Linked DNA regions of Macaca fascicularis. The protein of the gene in region 1 purifies or fractionates together with the protein of each later gene. This does not show direct contact. Links are inferred from orthologs where the notes say so. Each region holds a gene or a part of one and is shown on either strand. Other genes may lie near its edges.

Region 1 (4,075 bases):
TAGATCTCCCAGCAATGTAAAAGTGTCTTTTGCAAGTCAGGAGTCCTGGTTTCAAGCTTCTAACTTCTTGATAAATCCATCACCTGCATTCTGACAATGGCTATACGTTCAAGACTATGTTTATCATACACTCTTATTTTTGCCTCCAGGATTTTAGTTAGAAGCTCAGGTTCTGGGGCTAGACTGTTTGGGTTTGGATCCTCGCACTGCCACTTACTAGCTTGTGAAATTCCAAAACGTTACTTAATATCTCTGTGCCTCAGGTGTTCTCATCTGTAAAATGGCTGTAAGTAATGTTAAGATTAAAATAATTAGTTCATGAAGAGTGCTTATAACAGTATCTGACACATTATGAAAGCTCAGTATTTATTATTGTTATTTTTACTACCACTAGCATCAATATGTGTATTAATAATATGTGGCTCTTCTCACAGCACACTATACACCCCCAGGACTGTTTGTATTCTGATTTGGCTCAGAAGAGCAGTCCTTTTTCTGAATGGACTGTTGACCAGATGTAGAAGGAAGGCAGAGAGAGAAAGGAATGAAAGGGAAACGGAATACTTTGTCTCCGAATTATCTTTAAGTAAATGAAGGAATTGGGGCTATAAAAAAATTGCCGGAGCATACATGTATAAAGGTTCACGGCATGCCGAAAGAGAAAGTAAAAGGAGCATTCACAATGGAGTTGGCATCCTTTTGCTTCAAAGTGAGAAAAATCACACGATCAGCTGCAATTAAGACTTAAGGAAAAAGGCTGTCTGTTAATTCAATCTCATTCGCAGGACAGGCCTCCAGGACACTTCATCTTCCCCCCTGGGTGGAGCCCTTGCCGGCCGGGGGCTCCACGGAGAGGAATAGGAGGCGGCTCGGGCTTCCCGGCTCGTGTGGGCGCCAGAAAGCGGAACCGCCCTGGCCAGTCGCGCGGTGGTCACCCTCTCGGGAGCTGGGGAGGAGGCTGGCGAGGCTGGCCCGGCTCCTTCGGGCGCCGCTCCCCGGACCGGGTGCGAGGCGTCCTCCTGAGCGTCTGTTCCGGGTCCTCCCGCGCCCGTGTTCGCAGTCCCCGCCTGCCGGGTCGCGGCGCCGCCTCGGGCGCGGGTGCAGGCGCGCGGCGCGCAGGCGGGGGGCGCTGTGGCCTTGGCGCTGGGACCGAGCCGCCCGGCCGGACCCGCCTCTTTTCCCTCCCCGCCCGCCCGCCCCCCACGCGTCGTGTCGCCGGGAAGCCGGGCGGAGACAGAGCGCTTGGGATCCACGGCGCTCGGACCGCTGTCCTCCAATCGCGTGGGGCAGAGCGGCTGGCGCTGCCGGAGCGCGGAGCCACGACCCTCCCCGGCCGCCTTTGTCTGCTAGCCGTGCAGCCTGGAACCGCCACTCTCCGGGGCCGGGGACGCGCCCGCAGCTGTCGGTGACAGCTCCTCCCTACCGCCACCCTCCGGGGCGAAGGGGCGGTCGGGCCCGGCCCTGCTCGCCCGCGCCGGCAAGCCCGCAAGCCCGCGCTCGCGGATCGATGCCCCCGCAGCAGGGGGACCCCGCGTTCCCCGACCGCTGCGAGGCGCCTCCGGTGCCGCCGCGTCGGGAGCGCGGGGGACGCGGGGGACGCGGGCCTGGGGAGCCGGGGGGCCGAGGGCGCGCGGGGGGTGCCGAGGGGCGCGGCGTCAAGTGCGTGCTGGTCGGCGACGGTGCGGTGGGCAAAACGAGCCTGGTGGTGAGCTACACCACCAACGGCTACCCCACCGAGTACATCCCCACTGCCTTCGACAACTTCTCCGGTGAGCGGGCCCGGGGGCCGGGGCCGGGGGCGCGTGACCGCGGTCCGTCCAGGGGAAGGAGGGTGGCGCGAGGGTCGCGGGGCTCCCAAGGGGGCTGCAGGGCCCCGGGCGCGGCTCCAGCGGGGAAGCCGGACAAATGAGGCGAGTAGGACGTTTCCTAAGTGTCAGGGACTGGGCAAGCATGGAGCTAACAGGAAAGGACCACGGGGGAATGGGGAGCCCTAAAACCAGAGCTTGGAGAGAGGGGGGCTGAGCGGCAGTCAGAGCCGTTGCCAAAAAAAAAAAAAAAAAAAAAAAAAAATCTCACAATTCTCACAATTTAAGCAACAGATAAGCAGGAGTGAAACAGGTTGAGTTCTGGCTGCCGGGTCAGTTTGCTGCGTAGAGCAAAGTTTCCTGAGGGCGACGTCGCTGGCGCCGCTGCAGTTTCAATCAGAAGGTGACGCGCAGGTGCCTTTACCTGAGCCTCGCTCCTTTGCTTTTAGGCGGCTTAGCTCTCAAGGGGCGTGCCGCGGAGACGCCGGGAAAACACTTGATTTAGTGAAAATAGCGCGAGCGGCCCTCGTGAAGGCTTAGGTTTGGATGAAACCTGGAAAGTAAACACCATTTCTCTCTTCTGAGCCCCACCACCTTCCCTGCCCACATGGGCTCAGATTCTGATTGTTGGTATCCTTTCAGGATCCCTTTAAGCTACTTAAAGCTCTTATGTACCGGGTGCGATGTCATTTGCCTTGGTAGATACAAAGATAAAGGAATTCTCTATCTCGATATTCAGGTCTTTTTGAAATTTAAGAAAAAGTTGAAATTCACAGAGGCTAGTAGGAAACATTTAACTGTTTCGCTTCTTAAGAGAAAAGGTTGCTTCTCTGACCTTCCTTTCATCCCAAAGGCACCCTAGAAAAATGGGTGCTGTACTGATGGGTTCCCACCGCAGAGGATTGTGTCTTCCCCTCCCCCACCCCACCCCACCCCTGCTGCTGACTAGTATAAACATTGAGAGACAATTAGAAAGTTGTGTAGAAAGAGACAAAATTGACTGCTTAGTTAAAATAGAAACCTCCGCGACATGTCCTGCTGCAGGCCTCTCCACACTCCCTGAGTCCCCAAATCCCAGTGGAAAGGTGGGCATGGCTTTCTCTTTTCTTTTTTAATCCTCCTTTTGGCCTGACATAGAGATAAAGAGTGCCCTCACTTTTAAACAGCACAATGCGGGCAGCCTGTGTTTGCACATGTTCTCAAAACAAACTGGAATTTTATGATAAACCCTGAAGTTGGGGAACCTTTCCCAAGGGAAAACAGAATCATTTGTGAGGTTTTCCACTGATTTAAAACTGCAGGGTTACTTCCCATTTACCCCCAGTGTTGTTTTTAGGTCCTTTGAAACAAGTGTGACAGGAAAATAAATCTTCCAGGACTGAGAGAAAAGCATAGGCCTTTCTGGGGGCACCATCAAAGGGTTCAGGGATTTGCTGCCTGGTTCGTGGAGTGACTTGCCAGCGCTGGGTTTGTATACAAAAATGCCTCCACAGGGCCTCCTTGTTTTAGGCTAGTCCTTAATTCATTAGAGGACCTAGAATGGGAGCAGAGGTGTTTGGAGTGAGAATGATGGTGAAAGCTAAAACTATTTAGTATTCCAAAAGGAGTTAAAAGACACCTCCTGATTGCCATTTTGGTTTTGTTTTTAGCGGTGGTGTCTGTGGATGGGCGGCCCGTGAGACTCCAACTCTGTGACACTGCCGGACAGGTCAGTATCATGTTACAGCTCAGTGCTGGGAAAGGAAACAGCCTTTTAAAGATTTCCAAATAACCTTTGATTCCCCCAGTCAGTAACTAGGTCATTCGAAAGCCTCATGAAGTGGACCCACCCCTGCTGTTGGCCCCTCTCTGAGGGTGGGCAGGGGCCAGGGGTTGGCGGGCAGGAAGCAGAGGAAGATACCTCCAAACTAATAAAGCAGGATTTGGCCCAGCTCTGCATAGCCAGGCAAGGGAGGAAGCACGGTCAAGAACAGCTCTTATCTTATAGGAGTTTCTATTATTTACTCCCTGGTTTTTATGAAAAAGTTTCAGTGATGCTTTGTCGTCATTTCCCAAACTAAGTTAGTGATATCTTATAATCGTTTTATTAAAGGCCAGTGAGTCAGATATTTAAGAAATTTGTTCAAGAAAAAGATGGAATTACATCAGTAAGAGTTAATAGTTCCCTTCCTGAGCTATGGTTTGACTCGCTAGGACCAGCCCCATCCCTTGAAGCACAGATACATTTGTCAGAGCAGTCCTAAGCTGGAGGGATGAACTAACTGGGCTTA
Region 2 (3,500 bases), on another chromosome or scaffold:
GACCTAAGGGTTTATTATTATTATTATTATTATTATTTTTTTTTTTTGAGACAGAGTCTCGCTCTGTCGCCCAGGCTGGAGTGTAGTGGTAAGATCTTGGCTCACTGTAACCTCCAGGCTTCAAGCGATTCTCCTGCCTCAGCCTCGCAAGTAGCTGGGATTACAGGTGCCCACCACTACACTCGGCTACTTTTTGTATTTTTAGTAGAGACAGGGTTTCACCATGTTGGCCAGGCTGGTCTCGAACTCCTAGACTCAAGTGATCCGCCTGCCTCAACCTCCCAAAGTACTGGGATTACAGATGTGAGCCACTATGCCCGGCTTTATTATTATTCTTGCTTACACATCTGAAGGGTTTATTATCCATTTAGCCTGTTGAAACATCTGCCCAGCTACTGGCAGAAATTATTCCTGGTGCCTTCACCTCAGTCATCCAAGAACTGATCTCTTCTAGCAGGAAAGGAATATTAAATATAAGTGAAAACTGTTGCCACCTTGGTCCCCTAAATGAAGCATCTCCTGGGAAAGGTAAAGAAAAACACAGTAAGACCAAATCTTTACAATCAGTCAGCACTTAATTCAAAGAGTACTTACATAAGCACTAATTTAATGGCCACAATTAACTCTGGGCAAGAATTATCATCCTCACTTCACAAATAAGGTACAGAAACATAAAAAGATATGTCTAGGGCCGGGCGTGGTGGCTCACTCCTGTAATCCCAGCACTTTGGGAGGCTGAGGTGGGTGGATCACCTGAGGTCAGAAGTTCGAGACCATCAAGACCAACCTGATCAATATGGCGAAATCTGGTCTCTACTAAAAGTACAAAACTTAGCTGGGCATGGTGGAAGATGCCTGTAATCCCAGCTACTCAGGAGGCTGAGGCAGGATAATCGCTTGAGCCTGGAAGGTGGAAGTTGCAGTGAGCTGAAATCACACCATTGCACTCTAGCCTGGGTGACAGAGTGAGACTCTGTCTCAAAAAAAAAATATGTGTGTGTGTGTGTGTGTGTCTAGGATCACTCTGTCTTGTTTCCAACATATCCCAGCAATTATTATCTTCAAATCTCTGCAAGGCCATTCTAAGGCAGGGAAGAATATGTTGCATGTGGAGTCAGAGGCAAAGCTGGGACCAAAGAATAGAAACTACAGAAGGTAGTTTCAGTTTGGTGCACTGAAGCAATTTCCAATAATCAGAGATATCCAAGGATGACATGAGCATGTAGATGACCACCTACCAGCAACAGTGCACAGGGAACTCCTGCACTAGATGGGAGGTGGGAATAAATGAGAAAATAAAAGCAATCAGAATAAATTTCACATTTGCCCACACAAAGATTACCAACCTATTTGCATCTGTGTTGATATGCTCTGTTACAAGGGATAAATTGTCCATGCTAATCTAATGTCCTTTACTTCAGTACTTGATCGAACCCCTCTCATCGACTTAAGGATATCACTTCTATGTTGTCACTTCCTTTTTGTACATGACCATTTTCCTCCTCTCCACTAAATCATTCCCATTAGCACACAGACATCTTTTAGAAAAACCCTCCCTTGACTCCATTTTAAGAGAGTGTTCCATTTTTGTTACCCTTCCCAGCAAAATTCCTTTAAGAGAAAAAAAACCTGTTTATACATGCCATCTCAACGTCCTCTTCTTCCACTTTCATGAATTTAATTAGACTTTCATCCCCATCTCTCTACTGACAACTGATTGTTAAGGTCATTAAGAACCTCTACATTGGCAAATCCAATGTTCATTTCTCAGTTTCATCTTAACCTATCAATCACATTTGACACATAATCTACCCTCCTCCTCCTTCAGGAAGCACACTGTTCTATTCATCTCCAGGACACTTCACCTCCAAGATACTTCTCTGTTCTCTCACACTAGAAAGGCCATTCCTTGGTCTACTTTGCTAGTTCCTCCAACCTGTAAACAGTGGAATAACCTAGAGCTCAGTACTCAAATCTCTTTTCTTTAACAGTACTCATTCTCTAGGTGAGTGATCTCATCTACCTCTGATTTTAAATACCAACTATATATTATCTACTAATAAATTTATGATTATTGTCCTGACCCCTCACCCTTGAACTCTAGACTCTTAAGCCAAACTCTACTCCCAGCTCCACTTAAATGTCTAATTAACACTTCAAATCAGCACATTCAAAACCAACTCTTAATTACCCAACTTAAGTATGGTCTTCACCATTTCAACAGATGGCAACTGAATTTTTTCAGCAATTCAGACCAAAAATCGTGTAGTAATTGCTGATTCCTCTTTCTCTAATATTCAGTTCATCCTGTCAGCTAGTCCTTCAAGACATTTCCTGAGTCTGAGCACTTCTCACTTCCACTCCTACCAAGACACCACCACTCTGAACTATTACAACAGTCTCTCGCAATCTATTTTCCATAAAAGCGGCCAAAATGATCTGTTTAAAACATAAATCAGATCACATTACTCCTCAGCTCAAAACCCTCTAATGACTTCCCAACTCTGCAGAATAAAATAACTTACGAGAGAGAACTTCCCTCTCTGCTCTAAAATAGCACACCTCTTCCTCCATTACTCTCTTAACTTCCTTACTTTGCTTTTTCTCACAGCATTTACCATCTGTTACTACATATTAATTTATTTTATTTTCATTAGAATAGTTTCTTGCACTTGAAAGGGACTCAGATAGTTGTTGAATAAATGAATGAGTGACTTCTAATATTCCTTTTCTTTGACCATTTATATTTTAAGTTCAACAGTGACTAGTTGTATCCAGAAAAGGGATCTCCAGGTTGAAAGCCATAGAGAATAGCCTGGATTCTTATTTCCTGGGACTAGAGACAACAGCCCAAATAAATTGAAATAGGAATGGTAACACTCACTCTCAGAGGGTTTTCATTGAGGTATGGAGGCTCCCCTTCAATCATTTCGATGGCCATGATGCCCAGGGACCAGATGTCAACCTTGGGCCCATAGGCCTTTCGTGTCACAACCTCTGGTGCCATCCAGTATGGGGTTCCCACCATGGTGCTCCGTTTGCTCTGCTCTGGGGTTATCTGTGCACAGAATCCAAAATCAGCTAGAAAAGAAAAATAAGAGAAAGAACATACATTTAGGATATACACTCACTTCAGTAAGTGTTGACTGTGTGCCTACACGTAGGTGACAAGATCTGCCTGGCTTCCAGCTCTGCTATCCTTTGTCTCTCCAAAGTCACTTGACTGCCACCTTCATGTCTAGCTCCTAGCCTATTTCCTATTGAACCCTGAAGAGAAATAGGAGGAATATAAGAAACACCATCTCTGGCCTCCTATCTCTCCTTAAACCAGGGGACTTAGTGTTAAAGTCCAAGCTGCCCATTTTGGTCTCGATTGCTTGTCCCAGTTTTGCTTTGTTCTTGAAAAACCATTCTCATATTCTCAAATATGGCAACGAGGTCCTTGCCTTATTTCTTGGGCACGAGTCCTTGATTTAAACCCCAGTCACCTATGACTAAGC

Evidence for each region.
Region 2: the proteins of RHOU (region 1) and PAK1 purify together in Homo sapiens (co-immunoprecipitation; 5 studies listed by BioGRID and IntAct, with this or other methods). This does not show direct contact. The link is inferred for Macaca fascicularis from reciprocal best matches to the Homo sapiens genes RHOU and PAK1.

The regions. Positions count from the first base shown.
Region 1 is NC_088375.1:20,340,868-20,344,942, reverse strand, and holds the start of RHOU (rho-related GTP-binding protein RhoU), read left to right. Parts: upstream 1-1,275; 5' UTR 1,276-1,507; coding exon 1,508-1,769; intron 1,770-3,454; coding exon 3,455-3,513; intron 3,514-4,075. UniProt on the Homo sapiens protein: Binds to and activates protein kinase PAK1. Plays a role in the regulation of cell morphology, cytoskeletal organization and focal adhesion assembly during cell migration. Also stimulates quiescent cells to reenter the cell cycle.
Region 2 is NC_088388.1:76,217,696-76,221,195, forward strand, and holds part of PAK1 (serine/threonine-protein kinase PAK 1), read right to left. Parts: intron 3,082-3,500; coding exon 2,885-3,081; intron 1-2,884. UniProt on the Homo sapiens protein: Protein kinase involved in intracellular signaling pathways downstream of integrins and receptor-type kinases that plays an important role in cytoskeleton dynamics, in cell adhesion, migration, proliferation, apoptosis, mitosis, and in vesicle-mediated transport processes.